Saccharomyces cerevisiae S288C: one gene and its partners. The protein of the gene in region 1 interacts with the protein of each later gene in a biochemical or structural test. Each region holds a gene or a part of one and is shown in the gene's direction. Other genes may lie near its edges.

Region 1 (5,930 bases):
ACTGTACTCCATTAATCAATGACCAATTCGGAAATTATGTCATACAGTGCGTTTTGAAATTTGGATTCCCCTGGAACCAGTTTATTTTTGAAAGTATAATAGCTAATTTTTGGGTTATTGTTCAGAATAGATATGGTGCAAGGGCAGTCAGAGCTTGTTTAGAGGCACATGACATTGTAACTCCTGAACAATCAATAGTTTTGAGTGCAATGATCGTTACATATGCTGAATATCTAAGCACTAATAGCAATGGTGCGTTGTTAGTAACGTGGTTTTTAGATACTAGTGTTTTACCCAACAGACATTCTATCTTGGCACCAAGATTGACGAAAAGAATTGTAGAGTTATGTGGCCACAGATTGGCTTCTTTGACTATTTTGAAGGTCTTGAATTACAGAGGGGATGATAACGCTAGAAAAATCATCCTAGATTCCCTATTTGGAAACGTGAACGCACACGATTCTTCGCCACCAAAGGAATTAACAAAGCTTTTATGTGAAACAAATTATGGCCCAACCTTTGTCCATAAAGTTTTAGCAATGCCATTATTAGAAGATGACTTAAGAGCCCACATCATTAAACAAGTCAGAAAAGTATTGACGGATTCTACTCAAATCCAACCAAGCCGCCGTTTATTGGAAGAAGTCGGGTTGGCATCACCCTCTAGTACTCATAACAAGACAAAACAACAACAGCAGCAGCATCATAACAGCAGCATTTCGCACATGTTCGCCACTCCTGATACTTCTGGACAACACATGAGAGGTCTTTCTGTTTCTAGCGTTAAAAGTGGTGGATCTAAACATACCACAATGAACACCACGACTACAAATGGTTCTTCTGCCTCTACATTATCCCCGGGCCAACCATTGAATGCCAATTCTAATTCTTCAATGGGCTATTTTAGTTATCCTGGCGTCTTCCCTGTCAGCGGCTTTTCAGGCAACGCCAGTAATGGATATGCTATGAACAACGATGACTTAAGTTCCCAGTTTGATATGCTAAACTTTAATAACGGAACCCGTTTATCGTTGCCACAACTGAGCCTAACTAACCATAACAACACTACTATGGAATTAGTAAACAATGTTGGCTCCTCACAACCTCATACGAACAACAACAACAATAATAACAACACGAACTATAACGACGATAACACCGTTTTTGAAACTCTGACTTTACACTCTGCAAACTGACGTCCCCATGTTTTCTTTTATTTCCGTCATCATTGGGAGACCACGCCGTTTTCTTCTCATACCTGCATCCATTCAAAACTATCTCATTTACCCCCAACGGTTTTATGGTTCAAATCCTAATAGAATATGAGCGAGCTAATGAAGAATTTGGGCATTTTCATTACTGGGAAGACGTGTCTTTTTCAAGCCATCATATCGCCAAATTTTTTTTCTACACCTAATCATGATTAAATAAATCCATAAAGTTTTATACAGTTTTTAAAAATATCATCATTTATTACCCAGATGTGTTAATGAACATTTATAGTCATCATTACTAGGCTTTCATTACTACTGAGGTTACCCGCCTATGGACCTTCCTTGGTAAAGGAACTTGTTTTAAAATTTGCCTTTTAACAAATTTAGTGATATGATTATCAAAAAAGGCGTGGCAAAATACATAACACCAAATTTAACTGTGCCTGTGTGTTACTTTCTTTTGTCCATACTTCACCAGTTTTTCGATTTTACACAATAATTCGTTTTCATTTAATCGTTCTCTTAGAAGCCCGGTTTTTGAATATCAAAATCGTACTTGTGTCCAACTAGCAGGGAAGCCCAAAAATTAAGGCATTGCATTTAAGCTTACACCTGCGTGAAATCTTGAAATTTCTCATTGATTTCGGCACAATAATTATCATTGGTAGTGAGGCTAAACAGTTTTGCGGTTTCCTTTATACTAAGAAGGTCTATAATGGATCAGGATAACAACAACCACAATGACAGCAATAGGCTGCACCCACCTGATATACATCCAAATTTGGGCCCTCAATTGTGGCTGAATAGTAGCGGTGATTTTGACGACAACAACAACAACAACAACAACAACAACAATAATAATAGCACAAGACCACAAATGCCATCACGAACTAGAGAAACGGCAACTTCGGAAAGAAATGCAAGTGAGGTTAGGGATGCAACGCTAAATAATATCTTTAGGTTCGATAGTATTCAACGGGAAACGCTTTTGCCAACCAACAACGGACAACCGCTAAATCAAAACTTTTCGCTGACATTTCAACCACAACAGCAAACAAATGCGCTGAACGGGATTGACATAAACACTGTGAACACAAACCTTATGAATGGTGTCAATGTTCAAATAGATCAACTTAATCGATTGTTACCGAACCTACCAGAGGAAGAACGGAAGCAAATCCACGAATTCAAGCTAATAGTGGGCAAAAAAATCCAAGAGTTTCTGGTTGTTATAGAGAAACGTAGAAAAAAAATACTGAACGAAATTGAGCTAGACAACCTTAAACTAAAGGAGCTACGTATTGATAACTCCCCACAAGCAATTAGTTATTTGCATAAATTACAAAGAATGAGGCTTAGGGCGCTAGAGACAGAAAACATGGAAATTAGAAATTTAAGGCTAAAAATATTAACAATTATAGAAGAGTACAAAAAGTCATTATATGCATACTGCCATTCCAAGCTAAGAGGTCAACAAGTGGAAAATCCAACAGATAATTTCATCATTTGGATAAACTCCATAGATACTACTGAATCATCTGACTTGAAAGAAGGGCTACAAGATCTTTCGAGATATTCAAGGCAGTTCATAAATAATGTGCTTTCGAATCCATCAAATCAAAACATATGTACGAGTGTCACCCGAAGATCACCTGTGTTTGCCCTAAACATGCTACCCTCGGAAATATTACACTTAATATTAGATAAACTTAACCAAAAATATGATATTGTAAAATTCCTTACCGTTTCCAAACTCTGGGCTGAAATAATTGTGAAGATACTTTATTACAGACCGCACATCAACAAAAAGAGTCAATTAGACTTGTTTTTAAGGACTATGAAGTTAACTTCTGAAGAAACTGTATTCAACTATCGTTTAATGATCAAAAGATTAAATTTTTCATTTGTTGGTGACTACATGCACGATACAGAGCTTAACTATTTTGTCGGATGTAAGAATTTGGAGCGACTAACTTTAGTATTTTGCAAGCATATAACCAGTGTTCCAATATCGGCTGTTTTGAGAGGATGTAAATTTCTCCAAAGTGTGGATATCACTGGAATAAGAGACGTTTCCGATGACGTATTTGATACCTTAGCGACATATTGTCCCAGAGTACAGGGCTTTTATGTTCCTCAGGCAAGGAATGTAACATTCGATTCACTGCGGAATTTCATAGTCCATTCCCCGATGTTGAAAAGAATAAAAATCACAGCAAACAATAACATGAATGACGAATTAGTAGAACTATTAGCCAACAAATGCCCTTTGCTTGTAGAGGTCGATATAACATTAAGTCCAAATGTCACTGATTCTAGTTTGTTAAAACTCCTCACTAGGTTAGTTCAGCTGAGGGAATTCAGAATAACTCATAATACGAATATTACGGATAATCTTTTCCAGGAGCTTTCTAAAGTAGTTGACGATATGCCCTCTTTAAGATTGATTGATCTTTCTGGATGTGAAAATATTACAGATAAAACTATAGAAAGTATAGTCAATTTAGCCCCTAAATTACGTAATGTTTTTCTAGGCAAGTGTAGCCGAATTACAGATGCATCGTTGTTCCAATTATCGAAGCTGGGCAAAAACTTGCAAACAGTGCATTTTGGGCACTGTTTCAATATAACTGATAACGGGGTAAGAGCACTCTTTCATTCATGTACAAGAATACAGTATGTGGACTTTGCGTGCTGTACGAATTTAACCAATAGAACTCTTTATGAACTAGCAGACTTACCAAAATTAAAGAGAATTGGCCTTGTCAAATGTACGCAAATGACTGACGAGGGTTTGTTGAATATGGTTTCCTTGCGAGGCCGAAATGATACTTTAGAAAGGGTACATTTATCTTACTGTTCTAATTTAACAATATATCCGATATATGAGCTTCTAATGTCTTGCCCAAGGCTCTCACATTTGTCTTTGACTGCTGTTCCGTCATTTTTACGCCCCGATATAACGATGTATTGCAGGCCTGCACCCTCAGACTTTAGTGAAAATCAACGTCAAATATTCTGCGTATTTTCAGGGAAAGGTGTTCATAAACTTCGCCATTATTTAGTAAATTTAACGTCGCCCGCTTTTGGACCACATGTCGATGTAAATGATGTTTTGACAAAATATATTAGATCCAAGAATTTGATATTTAACGGTGAAACACTTGAAGATGCTCTTAGGAGAATCATAACTGATTTAAATCAAGATTCCGCTGCAATTATAGCTGCTACAGGATTAAATCAAATCAACGGTCTAAATAACGATTTTCTTTTCCAGAATATCAATTTTGAACGAATAGATGAAGTATTCAGTTGGTATCTCAATACTTTTGATGGCATTAGGATGAGCTCGGAGGAAGTTAACTCACTATTATTGCAAGTAAACAAGACGTTTTGTGAAGATCCATTTAGTGATGTGGACGATGATCAAGATTATGTCGTAGCACCTGGTGTAAACCGGGAAATTAACAGTGAAATGTGTCATATTGTTAGAAAATTCCATGAGTTAAATGATCATATTGATGATTTCGAGGTGAATGTTGCTAGTTTGGTAAGAGTTCAGTTTCAGTTTACTGGTTTTTTACTTCATGAAATGACTCAAACCTATATGCAAATGATTGAATTAAACAGACAAATTTGTTTAGTACAAAAAACGGTTCAGGAATCGGGCAACATAGATTACCAAAAAGGGCTTTTAATATGGCGACTTTTATTCATTGACAAATTCATTATGGTGGTTCAGAAGTACAAGCTCTCCACCGTTGTTTTGAGACTATATTTAAAAGATAACATAACATTGTTAACCAGACAAAGAGAACTATTAATAGCCCACCAAAGATCAGCATGGAATAACAATAATGACAATGACGCCAACCGGAACGCCAACAACATAGTGAATATTGTATCGGATGCTGGGGCAAACGATACAAGTAACAATGAAACTAACAATGGTAATGATGACAATGAAACAGAAAATCCAAATTTCTGGCGTCAGTTTGGCAATAGAATGCAAATATCACCTGACCAGATGAGGAATCTCCAAATGGGACTTCGTAATCAGAACATGGTTAGGAACAATAACAACAACACAATTGACGAATCAATGCCTGACACTGCCATTGATTCTCAAATGGATGAAGCATCAGGAACGCCCGATGAAGATATGTTATAATTGTATTTCATTGAATACTTACTGTCCTACTACACCTTTATTTTCAAAATCCCACTTTTCTTACTTATTTACATATAAATACATAATGCATTCACTTTGAAACTTTTTGCCTTAGCATGTATACGCTATAGACTTGCGGTATCAACGAATATACGTAACGTTGTCACGTCCACAGAAGATGCTATGTCAACAGTTCCCTGCAGATATCTGCGATGCGGCGAAACATTCTATACACAGTTTCAAAACTACAAAAAATACAAACCTTTAGCCTGTTTATCAAATTAGTTAGCTATAAAATGCCCATTTTCTTAGCAATATCGATCAATTGATTGTCATCTTCCAAAGTTTCAATAAAATTTGTGGCAGTATAGTAATCCCTTCTCAATATGTCCAATTTCTTATCACAGTCATCTATAAATTCGCGCTTAATAGATTGCACTTTTAGGTTCACCCAATTGTTGAATGTCATGTCCAACTCTTCTGCAGGCATTTGCTTAATCAAAAAAGCCAGATCACCGTCTTTGTCATTAGCTAGCGTAGCATCA
Region 2 (3,191 bases), on another chromosome or scaffold:
TAATAATATGCTGAATTATACGATATCAAATTTCTTTGGGTGCGATGTAGATGATTCAAATACTCAATAATTATGCATGAAAGAAATCCATTATTCTTGGCAGGAATGCCTCAGGGAATATGGGACCATGACAAGAGGCAACTTAATAGGCATTTACAACCTTTTGATTGAATAATCTAACTATGGGATATAAAGAAGCCTCTAAAAAATTAAATGCCGATAACCTTGATGATTTTCGTATGCTTATTTAATGCGGCTCCCGTCAGCGCCCTGCCGGGTAATATGATTCCCTTTCCAAGTAAGAAGAGCGACAGATAAGCGCGCTTGTATTCATCATACTGCCGCTATGCTGCTTTTCAGTCTGAAAATCGGATGTAATCTGAAAAGCGGATCTGTATTACGATATGATATGGGCAGCCTTTGTGGGTACGATGTCTAGAATTGAAACATTTTTTAATTATATTAATCTTATCGTTTACTTTTTCACATTCTTATCAGTAGGGCGAAACACTAAGAAAAGAGGAACCTCTTTGCGGCTTACGTAAAAAATGCACTAGCCATGTTTGGCACGTTCCCTGCTTGAACTGACATTAGGGGTCGAGCACGAGAGAAAGCCTATTGCCATCACGTGGCAAGCCAGCAATGATCAATTAACAACGCTAAAATCGGCGTATATGCAATGCCAATCCTACGATACTGTTGAAGTAAGGGGGAGGGCGCTAATACGACTCAGACTGACATGCCCTAGTTGTGCTACAAAATTGTCGTTTATGTTACAAACACGTGTAAGATAGTAAAATACCCTTCTTGGACATTCTATTATGCCAAAGCAAAAAAAAATCGGTGAAATAAACCTGTCTCAGTCTGGTTTAGGAAAAGAGACATCACCACACCATGCCAAATGCGGCAACTTCCTTAAACCGCGGTGTCGTAGAACCCATTCATCCTTGTGTATACGCTATGCTGGGCGGTACTTACCGGATCTGGCAGGCACCACATGGGTAGAGAATAAATGACGCACGCATCTGAATGTTACACCCAGAGGTATCCCGGAAAATCTTCCTTTTGAAACCGGAACAAGCTGACCTTGACTTTCACCCGCGGATACTGCTTAGCCCAGTTCCGGCCGTACACAAGCCCTTCTGGAGTGGGATTGAGCTCACTTCATTGCGCTGTTACTCCCCTAACAACGTGGCCTCTCTCCATTCGGTAAGGAATCAAATTTTGTTCTAGAATGTTCATGCTGCTGCGGTCATTTCTTACCCTAGTAGTAATTCATTGTGCCCACGTACGAACCGTACAATGGGATTCTGCCCTGCGCACGTTCACAGTTCGCCAAATAACAATTCTCATTTTCATTTCTTTTTCACAGTGTAGATGATACCGTGTCTGCGACATTTCCATTCTTAGTAGAAATGCAAAACGCAACGTTTGCTATTAATTTTTTTCACCTCTGTTTCCTTTTTTTTTCTCACCTCAACAATCAAATGTACTTATATAAACTTCTTTTGTTATCTCCAAAATTTAAACTTATTTACATCCTTTTTCACTTCATATATCAATTCATGGGAAAGTAAAGCTATCTTAATTACATCCTTATTTTATATTTCCCAACCATCAACCTTTATTCTTTACATATTTCTCTCTTTTCTCATTTTCTTTCTTATTAAGCGTAAAGCACCACAAGCAGTACCGATCTAAAGTCTCTCTACTTTACTATTATTTTTTTTTTTTGTTCACTTCATAAACTTTTAGTGCAAAAATAAAAATAAAGACAAATAACACACTATCAAATCTCTTCAAGTTTAACAATTATGAACTCTATTTTAGACAGAAATGTTAGATCTAGCGAAACTACTTTAATTAAACCTGAATCTGAATTTGATAATTGGTTGTCGGATGAAAATGACGGAGCTAGTCATATCAACGTCAACAAGGACTCCTCGTCAGTTCTTTCTGCATCTTCTTCCACATGGTTCGAACCATTGGAAAACATTATCTCCTCTGCATCCAGCTCCTCGATAGGCTCTCCAATCGAAGACCAGTTTATATCTTCCAACAACGAGGAATCTGCTCTTTTTCCAACAGATCAGTTTTTCAGTAATCCTTCCTCATACTCGCATTCTCCCGAGGTTAGCAGCTCGATAAAAAGAGAAGAGGATGACAATGCCCTTTCGTTGGCAGATTTTGAACCGGCTTCTTTGCAATTAATGCCTAACATGATAAATACTGATAATAATGACGATAGTACCCCACTTAAGAATGAAATCGAGCTAAACGACTCGTTTATAAAAACAAATCTAGATGCTAAGGAAACGAAAAAGAGGGCTCCAAGAAAAAGACTGACCCCCTTCCAAAAGCAAGCTCACAACAAGATTGAAAAACGCTACAGAATAAACATCAACACAAAGATTGCAAGACTGCAGCAGATTATCCCATGGGTAGCAAGTGAACAAACAGCTTTCGAAGTAGGTGATTCTGTAAAAAAACAGGACGAAGACGGCGCAGAAACTGCCGCTACTACTCCTCTTCCATCTGCCGCTGCTACAAGCACGAAGCTAAATAAAAGCATGATCCTAGAAAAAGCTGTTGACTATATTCTATATCTACAAAATAACGAACGACTATACGAAATGGAAGTTCAAAGGTTGAAAAGTGAAATCGACACTTTGAAACAAGACCAAAAATAAAAGCACGCTTGCTTAAACACCAATATTATAAAATTACGATAGAAATTCCTTTCTCCTCTTTTGTTTATGCGACATTTTTTTCTTTCTTAGCGAAGTACTTTAAAAAACAAGCCCAAAAAATAACAAGGCCATAACATAGCAGACAAGAATACAAAAAAAAAAAAGAAGTTGGAAAAAACATACAAAAAGATAAAAAAAAAAAATCCCCACTAAAGAAGGATGATAAATCGTGATGCGCACTTTTCATACCTTTTTCTTTTCTATTTCGTATTATTCAAAAAAAATTCTAATTTTATTCCTCCTTTATACACATTAATGACGCGTGGTTCATAGCCAAGAAAGCACAAGACATGACGAAATTCCGTTTCAGCTACGGACGGATATGTATGCCAAAACCGAAAAAATAAAAAAAAATCAATTTTTTTTATTTCAACAAACACATACACCTTAATGATTTATACGAACGAACTCTTCTCAAACTTTTCTCATTTATTTTATTTT
Region 3 (3,997 bases), on another chromosome or scaffold:
TCAACAGGAATTATACACACGACAAAATCTGGCCACTTCAATTGAAGAAATCAAAGGATACACCCGATGCTTTGCGTATGCCAATGAACGACAAATGCCTGATGAATTCCATATCAACTATGTGGATCGGTGCATTTGCGAGAATAGTGGAGAAAAACGGGTACAAGTATTTGATAGAGTAGTTCTCGAAGAAATCCATAAGGATCACAAACGCTTATATAACGAATGCATTCCGTTCCTGGAAAAATACATCAGCAAGTTAATTAACTGCAGCATTATAGTGGTTTCGCAGCAACCCACAGCACCAATGAAAAAGACTTTGCTAAAACAGTTAATTGAGCAGTACGGTGAGAATTATAAGATGACATTGAACATTTTGCATCTTGACGGAAGTATTAAACACAGTGACGTTGGATTAGATAACCCAACAGAAATTAGAGATCTGTCACAAGATGAAGAATGCATGAACATTTTAACTTTAGATACCAAGTTGGGAAAAGATGAAGAGTCCCATTCAATGAATATATATATCGGTAGTATGTCCACGGTACAGCTGAATAGAGAGCTTGATGATGCTCCCTCAGTCCTTTCGCATATTCTCACTAAAACAAAGCAGTGCTTTGTCTTCAAGATTAACGCTGGTGAAAACATCGAGAAGGCTCTAGCCTTAGCGGGAAAGCTGAAAAGAACAATAACATTACCTCAGCTAGATTAAGAAGGCCAGATCTTGTGCGCTACAATCACTTCGTCTCGTTCCCTTACATAAAAAACTTACGTAGCTACATTGTCGTGCGTGGCATCAACCTAATTATCCTAGCAAAATAAAAGAGAATGTTACGGGACTAACAGGCGGATGTAAATTACTCACTTAAACGCAGCCAAACATCATCGAGAACTTAGGGTAGCGTGCCACAAAATTTGCATGAATAAACTTTTGTTTTCCTAATTCGACAGCATTCCCTTGTTCGCAACACTTCACTGATAGGAAATCGAATAGCGCACACTCTCTTCTGGGACATACCCCAATGCGGTAAAGCCACGAAAACACCGCGCGTAAAGGGGTAAACAAGTCCATTCCTACAACCTCTTGGAGAAATTCTTTACCTACTACAACCCCGCGCCTGATACTTTCAGTATTCATGACAACTCGAGCCAGATCCCGCTCGTGGGCGTGTTCATTCTGTGACGATCCACTAGCGACTTCTTTGTTCAGCCTGCAAGAGACGCGTTCAAGGAAGAATTCGCGATTTTACTTCTTCGAGGGAATCTCGCACCGCGTTAGTTAGTTTCCAACCTTGAAAGCATCGGAGACGCATTTTTGGCGATTTTGCTGGATTGAGCTGAATGGTGCCAGGTCGAGGCTGGGAGGGAGACTAACTCGAAAGTGACGAAGACTCGAAAATTAAAAAAAAAGATACTGCAGAAGGCAAGATTGAGAATGGAGTAAAGGCAGCGTGGGTCCCCTGTGGAAACCGCAGTTTTCCTGCGCCAAGTGGTACCGGTGCGAGTGCAGCAATTAATCTCTCGATATTTTCTTAGTATCTCTTTTTATATAAGAATATATTTTGGAATTGGTAATGCTTATCTTCAATAGTTTCTTAGTTGAATGCACACTTAAGAGCAAATTGGCCAAGGAGTTCTTCGTTCGCTTTAATTTATTTCCTGGTTATTGTCAATTTATTCATCCCATCTCCCCAGGATAGAAGAAATTAGTGTAATTTTGCTGACAATACATTTTAACGACGATAACAATAATAGCAATTAAATAAAATAGCACTACCACCACTCCACTGCTCGTTAGCTATTTCTGTAAAATAAATAAAAAGATCATGAACCACTCAGAAGTGAAAACTGGGTTAATTGTCACTGCAAAGCAGACATATTACCCAATTGAATTGTCCAATGCAGAACTACTAACTCATTACGAAACCATACAGGAATATCACGAGGAAATCTCTCAAAATGTGCTGGTCCAATCTTCCAAGACAAAACCAGACATAAAATTGATCGATCAGCAACCGGAGATGAATCCTCATCAAACTAGAGAAGCCATAGTAACATTTTTGTATCAACTTTCAGTGATGACTAGAGTAAGTAATGGTATCTTCTTCCACGCTGTCAGGTTCTACGATCGCTATTGCTCTAAGAGAGTAGTGTTAAAGGACCAAGCTAAACTAGTTGTAGGCACCTGCCTTTGGTTAGCGGCCAAAACTTGGGGAGGGTGCAACCATATTATAAACAACGTCTCCATCCCCACAGGTGGTAGGTTTTATGGTCCCAATCCTAGAGCTCGTATTCCACGCCTTTCTGAATTGGTTCATTATTGCGGCGGGTCCGATTTATTCGATGAATCAATGTTCATTCAAATGGAAAGACATATCTTGGATACTCTGAACTGGGACGTTTATGAGCCCATGATTAATGACTACATTTTAAACGTTGACGAAAATTGTTTGATACAATATGAACTTTACAAAAACCAGTTACAAAATAACAATAGCAACGGCAAAGAATGGTCCTGTAAGAGAAAGTCACAATCTTCTGACGACAGTGATGCCACAGTGGAAGAACATATCAGTAGTTCACCGCAAAGTACTGGACTAGATGGCGATACAACTACCATGGATGAAGATGAAGAACTAAATTCCAAAATTAAATTGATAAATTTGAAAAGATTCTTAATTGATCTGAGCTGTTGGCAATACAACTTGCTTAAATTCGAATTATACGAAATATGCAATGGTATGTTTTCTATAATAAACAAATTCACTAATCAAGATCAAGGCCCTTTTCTCTCTATGCCCATTGGTAATGATATAAACTCAAACACTCAAACGCAGGTATTCAGCATTATCATCAATGGCATAGTCAATTCTCCCCCATCTTTAGTCGAAGTTTATAAGGAGCAATATGGTATAGTACCTTTCATATTACAAGTAAAAGATTATAACTTGGAATTACAAAAGAAACTGCAACTGGCCTCTACAATAGACCTAACCAGAAAAATTGCTGTCAATTCTCGTTACTTTGACCAAAATGCCTCTTCATCATCAGTTTCTTCTCCAAGCACATATTCTTCGGGAACCAATTATACTCCAATGCGAAACTTCAGTGCACAATCAGACAACAGTGTTTTCAGTACTACCAACATTGACCATTCATCGCCGATCACCCCTCACATGTACACTTTTAATCAGTTTAAAAACGAAAGTGCTTGTGACAGTGCCATAAGCGTAAGCAGTCTACCTAATCAAACCCAAAATGGTAACATGCCATTATCAAGCAATTATCAGAATATGATGCTAGAAGAAAGGAATAAAGAGAATAGAATTCCCAACTCATCATCCGCTGAAATACCACAACGTGCCAAATTTATGACGACTGGTATATTCCAGAACACAGGAGAACTTACTAATAGAGCGTCTTCGATATCGCTATCGTTAAGGAACCACAATAGCTCTCAACTGTGACCATTTTCTCATCAAGCCTACATATATACTTAATTAATAACGGAATACTACGCTTTTCCATCGTAAGTAATAATGACATTCATACTTGACATTTTAATACCAGATAATTTTAATGCCCACCTACAAACATCTAGCCTCAATATTCTTCACCTGAAACCAGCTGAATAGTAATATACCAATATTCTTTCAACGATTGATATAATTATCATCATGAACGGAAAAGATGACGCGATTTTCCAGTATTTTTTTCTTCCTTTCGTTCTAACGTTTGCGGTAAGCAAAGGAGAGTAGTAATTAGCAAACAGTTATAAATAGAAAGCCTCTCTAAGATTATAGATATATAGTCATACTAAAGCTTGAGATCTCATCTTTTTCGAGAACCTACCGGCATATTAAACTGAAGTAAGACATCATTCTGAGGAAAGGATCGGTATTATAACCATTATTATTTGTTGCACTTTATTACTATGTGGTCGAAAAAGTTTACATTAAAAAAGCTAATCTTAGGCGGGTATTTGTTTGCTCAA
Region 4 (4,314 bases), on another chromosome or scaffold:
GCGAAAGTTTCAAGAGATATGCCAGGCATACGAAATACTTAAAGACAATCGTTTAAGAGCTTTGTATGACCAGTACGGTACCACAGATGAAGTCCTGATTCAAGAGCAGCAGGCGCAGGCGCAACGCCAACAAGCCGGGCCGTTCAGTTCATCCTCAAATTTCGATACGGAAGCAATGTCATTCCCGGATCTATCTCCAGGTGATCTTTTCGCGCAGTTTTTTAATAGTTCTGCTACCCCCTCTTCTAATGGCTCCAAAAGCAGTTTTAATTTTAGCTTCAATAATAGCTCTACGCCGAGCTTCTCCTTTGTTAATGGCAGTGGCGTGAACAATCTGTACTCCTCGTCAGCAAAATACAACTCCAACGATGAGGACCATCATTTGGATAGAGGCCCTGATATCAAACATAATCTAAAGTGCACATTGAAGGAACTCTACATGGGTAAGACTGCAAAGTTGGGTTTGAATAGGACAAGGATTTGCAGTGTTTGTGATGGGCACGGTGGTCTAAAGAAATGCACTTGTAAAACATGCAAAGGGCAAGGTATTCAAACCCAAACTAGGCGTATGGGACCTCTAGTACAAAGTTGGTCTCAAACTTGTGCAGATTGCGGGGGTGCCGGGGTTTTTGTCAAAAATAAAGATATTTGCCAACAGTGCCAAGGTCTTGGCTTCATTAAGGAGAGGAAGATTCTACAAGTCACCGTTCAACCGGGATCGTGTCATAACCAACTTATAGTACTTACGGGCGAAGGTGACGAAGTTATTAGTACTAAGGGAGGCGGTCACGAAAAGGTAATACCTGGTGACGTCGTTATCACCATTTTACGTTTAAAAGATCCGAATTTCCAGGTTATCAACTACTCCAATTTGATATGTAAGAAGTGCAAAATCGACTTCATGACCAGTTTATGTGGAGGCGTAGTTTATATTGAAGGGCACCCTAGCGGTAAGTTGATCAAACTTGATATTATACCTGGCGAGATACTGAAGCCTGGTTGTTTCAAGACTGTTGAGGACATGGGGATGCCCAAGTTTATCAACGGTGTTCGGAGCGGTTTCGGTCATCTATATGTCAAATTCGATGTGACGTATCCAGAGAGACTGGAACCTGAAAATGCTAAGAAAATACAAAATATTCTGGCTAATGATAAATACATTAAAGCAGAACGTTCCACCATGGAAACCGCAGATTCAGACTGCTATTGCGATTTGGAGAAGTCATATGACAGTGTGGAAGAGCATGTGTTAAGTAGCTTTGAGGCCCCTAATTTAAACAATGAAGTTATTGAAGACGACGACCTTGGTGATTTGATTAATGAAAGAGATTCTCGGAAAAGGAACAACCGTCGATTCGACGAAAGTAATATTAATAATAATAATGAAACGAAACGAAATAAATATTCTTCACCGGTAAGCGGTTTTTATGACCATGATATTAATGGATATTGAAGGTTATATAGTCATGCAGTAATGTTATACATTTTCTATTTTTATTTTTTGTATCAGTACTCTATCTATAAGGACATTCCTTTTTTTAAGCAATGCGGAAAGATACGCTATTCTTCCTGTGGATGGTTTACCGCGGTTTGGGTGGTAATATCATTGCAGCCCTAGTCCTTTAGCAGTTTTTTTAGCGTGTAATACATTGTTATTCATCTTTTTCTTAGTGCCTGCCAAGAGATCGTGGGAGGTTACTTAACAGAAAAGCAAAAAAAAAAACCGATTAGAATGTGCATGCCGTTGTTACAGAGAAGCAAGGGAAGTTCACCACTGATCATATTTCTAAGTTCATCAAAATATCGTTTTGGTTTCAGCAGTAGGGATCTTTAACCCAAGTGTTCATTTTCTTTCCTTTTTGCTTTTTATTTGAATGATCTGAACAAAAGGAGAAACATATACTGTACTATTGCGTGAAAACGAACAGAGCACAACCCTCAAGAAAAAAGAGAACTACCCCTTAGTTCCATCTCATTTACTTAAGCAACACTTCCTAATTATTCTCTAATCCTAATAAAAAAAAAGAACTGATGTCGCGGGAGGCATTTGATGTACCGAATATAGGTACTAACAAGTTTTTAAAAGTCACACCTAATTTATTTACCCCAGAGCGATTGAATTTATTTGATGATGTCGAACTATATCTTACGTTAATAAAAGCATCCAAATGTGTCGAGCAGGGAGAAAGGCTGCACAATATAAGTTGGAGAATTCTGAATAAAGCTGTTCTAAAGGAGCATAATATTAATCGATCTAAAAAAAGAGACGGCGTGAAGAACATATATTATGTGTTAAATCCAAACAACAAACAGCCAATAAAGCCAAAGCAGGCAGCAGTAAAGCAGCCACCATTACAAAAGGCCAATTTGCCTCCCACAACGGCAAAACAGAACGTTTTAACTCGGCCAATGACATCACCAGCTATCGCACAGGGTGCTCACGATAGATCCTTGGATAATCCTAATTCTACAAACAATGATGTGAAAAATGACGTTGCTCCAAACAGACAATTCTCCAAATCTACTACGTCAGGGTTGTTTTCAAATTTTGCAGACAAATATCAAAAAATGAAAAATGTGAACCATGTTGCTAATAAGGAAGAACCACAAACTATTATCACTGGTTTTGATACAAGCACTGTTATAACCAAGAAACCTTTACAATCAAGACGCTCAAGATCACCTTTCCAGCATATAGGAGACATGAACATGAACTGCATTGATAATGAGACTTCCAAGAGTACCAGTCCTACTCTTGAAAATATGGGAAGTAGAAAATCCTCTTTTCCTCAGAAGGAATCTTTATTCGGAAGGCCAAGGTCTTACAAGAATGACCAAAATGGTCAACTGTCACTTTCGAAAACATCCTCTAGAAAAGGAAAAAACAAGATATTTTTCAGCAGTGAAGATGAAGATTCCGATTGGGACAGCGTTTCGAATGATTCAGAATTCTACGCTGATGAAGATGATGAAGAGTACGATGATTATAATGAGGAAGAAGCAGATCAGTACTATAGAAGACAATGGGACAAGCTTTTATTTGCCAAAAATCAACAGAATCTTGACTCAACGAAATCATCTGTTTCATCAGCGAACACAATCAACTCAAACACATCCCATGATCCCGTACGAAAAAGTTTACTCAGTGGACTATTCCTTAGTGAGGCAAATAGCAACAGTAATAACCACAATACTGCACATAGTGAATACGCTTCTAAACACGTTTCGCCGACTCCTCAGTCCTCTCATAGTAATATCGGTCCTCAACCGCAGCAAAATCCACCGAGCGCTAATGGTATAAAACAACAAAAACCTTCTTTGAAAACAAGCAACGTGACAGCTCTAGCATCGCTATCTCCCCCGCAACCATCCAACAATGAGCGGTTATCGATGGATATACAAAAGGACTTCAAAACTGATAATGAGTCCAATCATTTATATGAATCTAATGCTCCGCTAACTGCTCAAACTATACTGCCCACCGCCTTATCTACTCACATGTTTTTGCCAAATAACATTCACCAACAACGAATGGCGATTGCCACTGGTAGTAATACGCGACATCGTTTTTCGAGGCGGCAGTCGATGGATATCCCATCCAAGAACAGGAATACTGGGTTTTTGAAGACCAGAATGGAGATCTCTGAGGAAGAAAAGATGGTACGTACAATATCACGGCTTGACAATACGAGTATTGCAAACAGTAATGGAAATGGTAATGATGACACCTCTAATCAGAGAACGGAAGCACTGGGGCGTAAGACGAGTAATGGAGGGCGAATATGATTACTAAGTTAAATAAATCAGATACAGTATTTAAAGTTCTTTCAAAAAAAGATAATGTCATATATTTTACTATCTACGCAGTGAAAGAGTTCCTTCTAATGACACACTATTCACTTCGGGTAACGGATATTGTGTACTGAAAAATATAAAAAATTTTATCCCGGAAATGCGATGAGATGAAAATGCATGAAGTAGCGTATATATTGATTGCATGAGGTTGGACTTGAAAGGGCATATATACTCGGTTTTATCATTGATTCAAGTGTTCCCATAAATAATAAAACAGTTAAATCGAAATGCTAAGAAGACAAGCCCGTGAAAGGAGAGAATATCTATACAGAAAAGCGCAAGAATTACAAGATTCTCAACTGCAACAAAAACGTCAAATAATTAAACAAGCGCTAGCTCAGGGGAAGCCATTGCCAAAGGAACTAGCAGAAGATGAGAGTTTACAAAAGGATTTCAGATATGACCAAAGTTTAAAGGAGAGCGAAGAAGCAGATGATCTACAGGTTGATGATGAATATG

The links.
Region 2: the proteins of GRR1 (region 1) and TYE7 form a complex in vitro, tested with the Saccharomyces cerevisiae proteins (one study listed by BioGRID).
Region 3: the proteins of GRR1 (region 1) and CLN1 form a complex in vitro, tested with the Saccharomyces cerevisiae proteins (2 studies listed by BioGRID, with this or other methods).
Region 4: the proteins of GRR1 (region 1) and MKS1 form a complex in vitro, tested with the Saccharomyces cerevisiae proteins (one study listed by BioGRID).

What each region holds. Positions count from the first base shown.
Region 1 is NC_001142.9:590,327-596,256, reverse strand, and holds GRR1 (SCF ubiquitin ligase complex subunit GRR1), read left to right. Parts: upstream 1-1,929; coding exon 1,930-5,385; downstream 5,386-5,930. Other genes in the region: JSN1 (Jsn1p), read left to right, coding at 1-1,196; BIR1 (survivin), read right to left, coding at 5,675-5,930. UniProt on the Saccharomyces cerevisiae protein: Substrate recognition component of a SCF (SKP1-CUL1-F-box protein) E3 ubiquitin-protein ligase complex which mediates the ubiquitination and subsequent proteasomal degradation of target proteins.
Region 2 is NC_001147.6:976,693-979,883, reverse strand, and holds TYE7 (Tye7p), read left to right. Parts: upstream 1-1,814; coding exon 1,815-2,690; downstream 2,691-3,191. UniProt on the Saccharomyces cerevisiae protein: Transcriptional activator of glycolytic gene expression, such as enolase genes (ENO1 and ENO2), glyceraldehyde-3-phosphate dehydrogenase gene (TDH), phosphoglycerate kinase (PGK1), phosphoglycerate mutase (PGM1), pyruvate kinase (PYK1) and triosephosphate isomerase (TPI1) genes.
Region 3 is NC_001145.3:660,815-664,811, forward strand, and holds CLN1 (cyclin CLN1), read left to right. Parts: upstream 1-1,829; coding exon 1,830-3,470; downstream 3,471-3,997. Other genes in the region: CIK1 (Cik1p), read left to right, coding at 1-715; ROT1 (Rot1p), read left to right, coding at 3,938-3,997. UniProt on the Saccharomyces cerevisiae protein: Essential for the control of the cell cycle at the G1/S (start) transition. Interacts with the CDC28 protein kinase to form MPF.
Region 4 is NC_001146.8:481,525-485,838, forward strand, and holds MKS1 (Mks1p), read left to right. Parts: upstream 1-2,031; coding exon 2,032-3,786; downstream 3,787-4,314. Other genes in the region: APJ1 (Apj1p), read left to right, coding at 1-1,453; snoRNA-binding rRNA-processing protein IMP4, read left to right, coding at 4,083-4,314. UniProt on the Saccharomyces cerevisiae protein: Negative regulator of Ras-cAMP pathway. Involved in transcriptional regulation of galactose-inducible genes.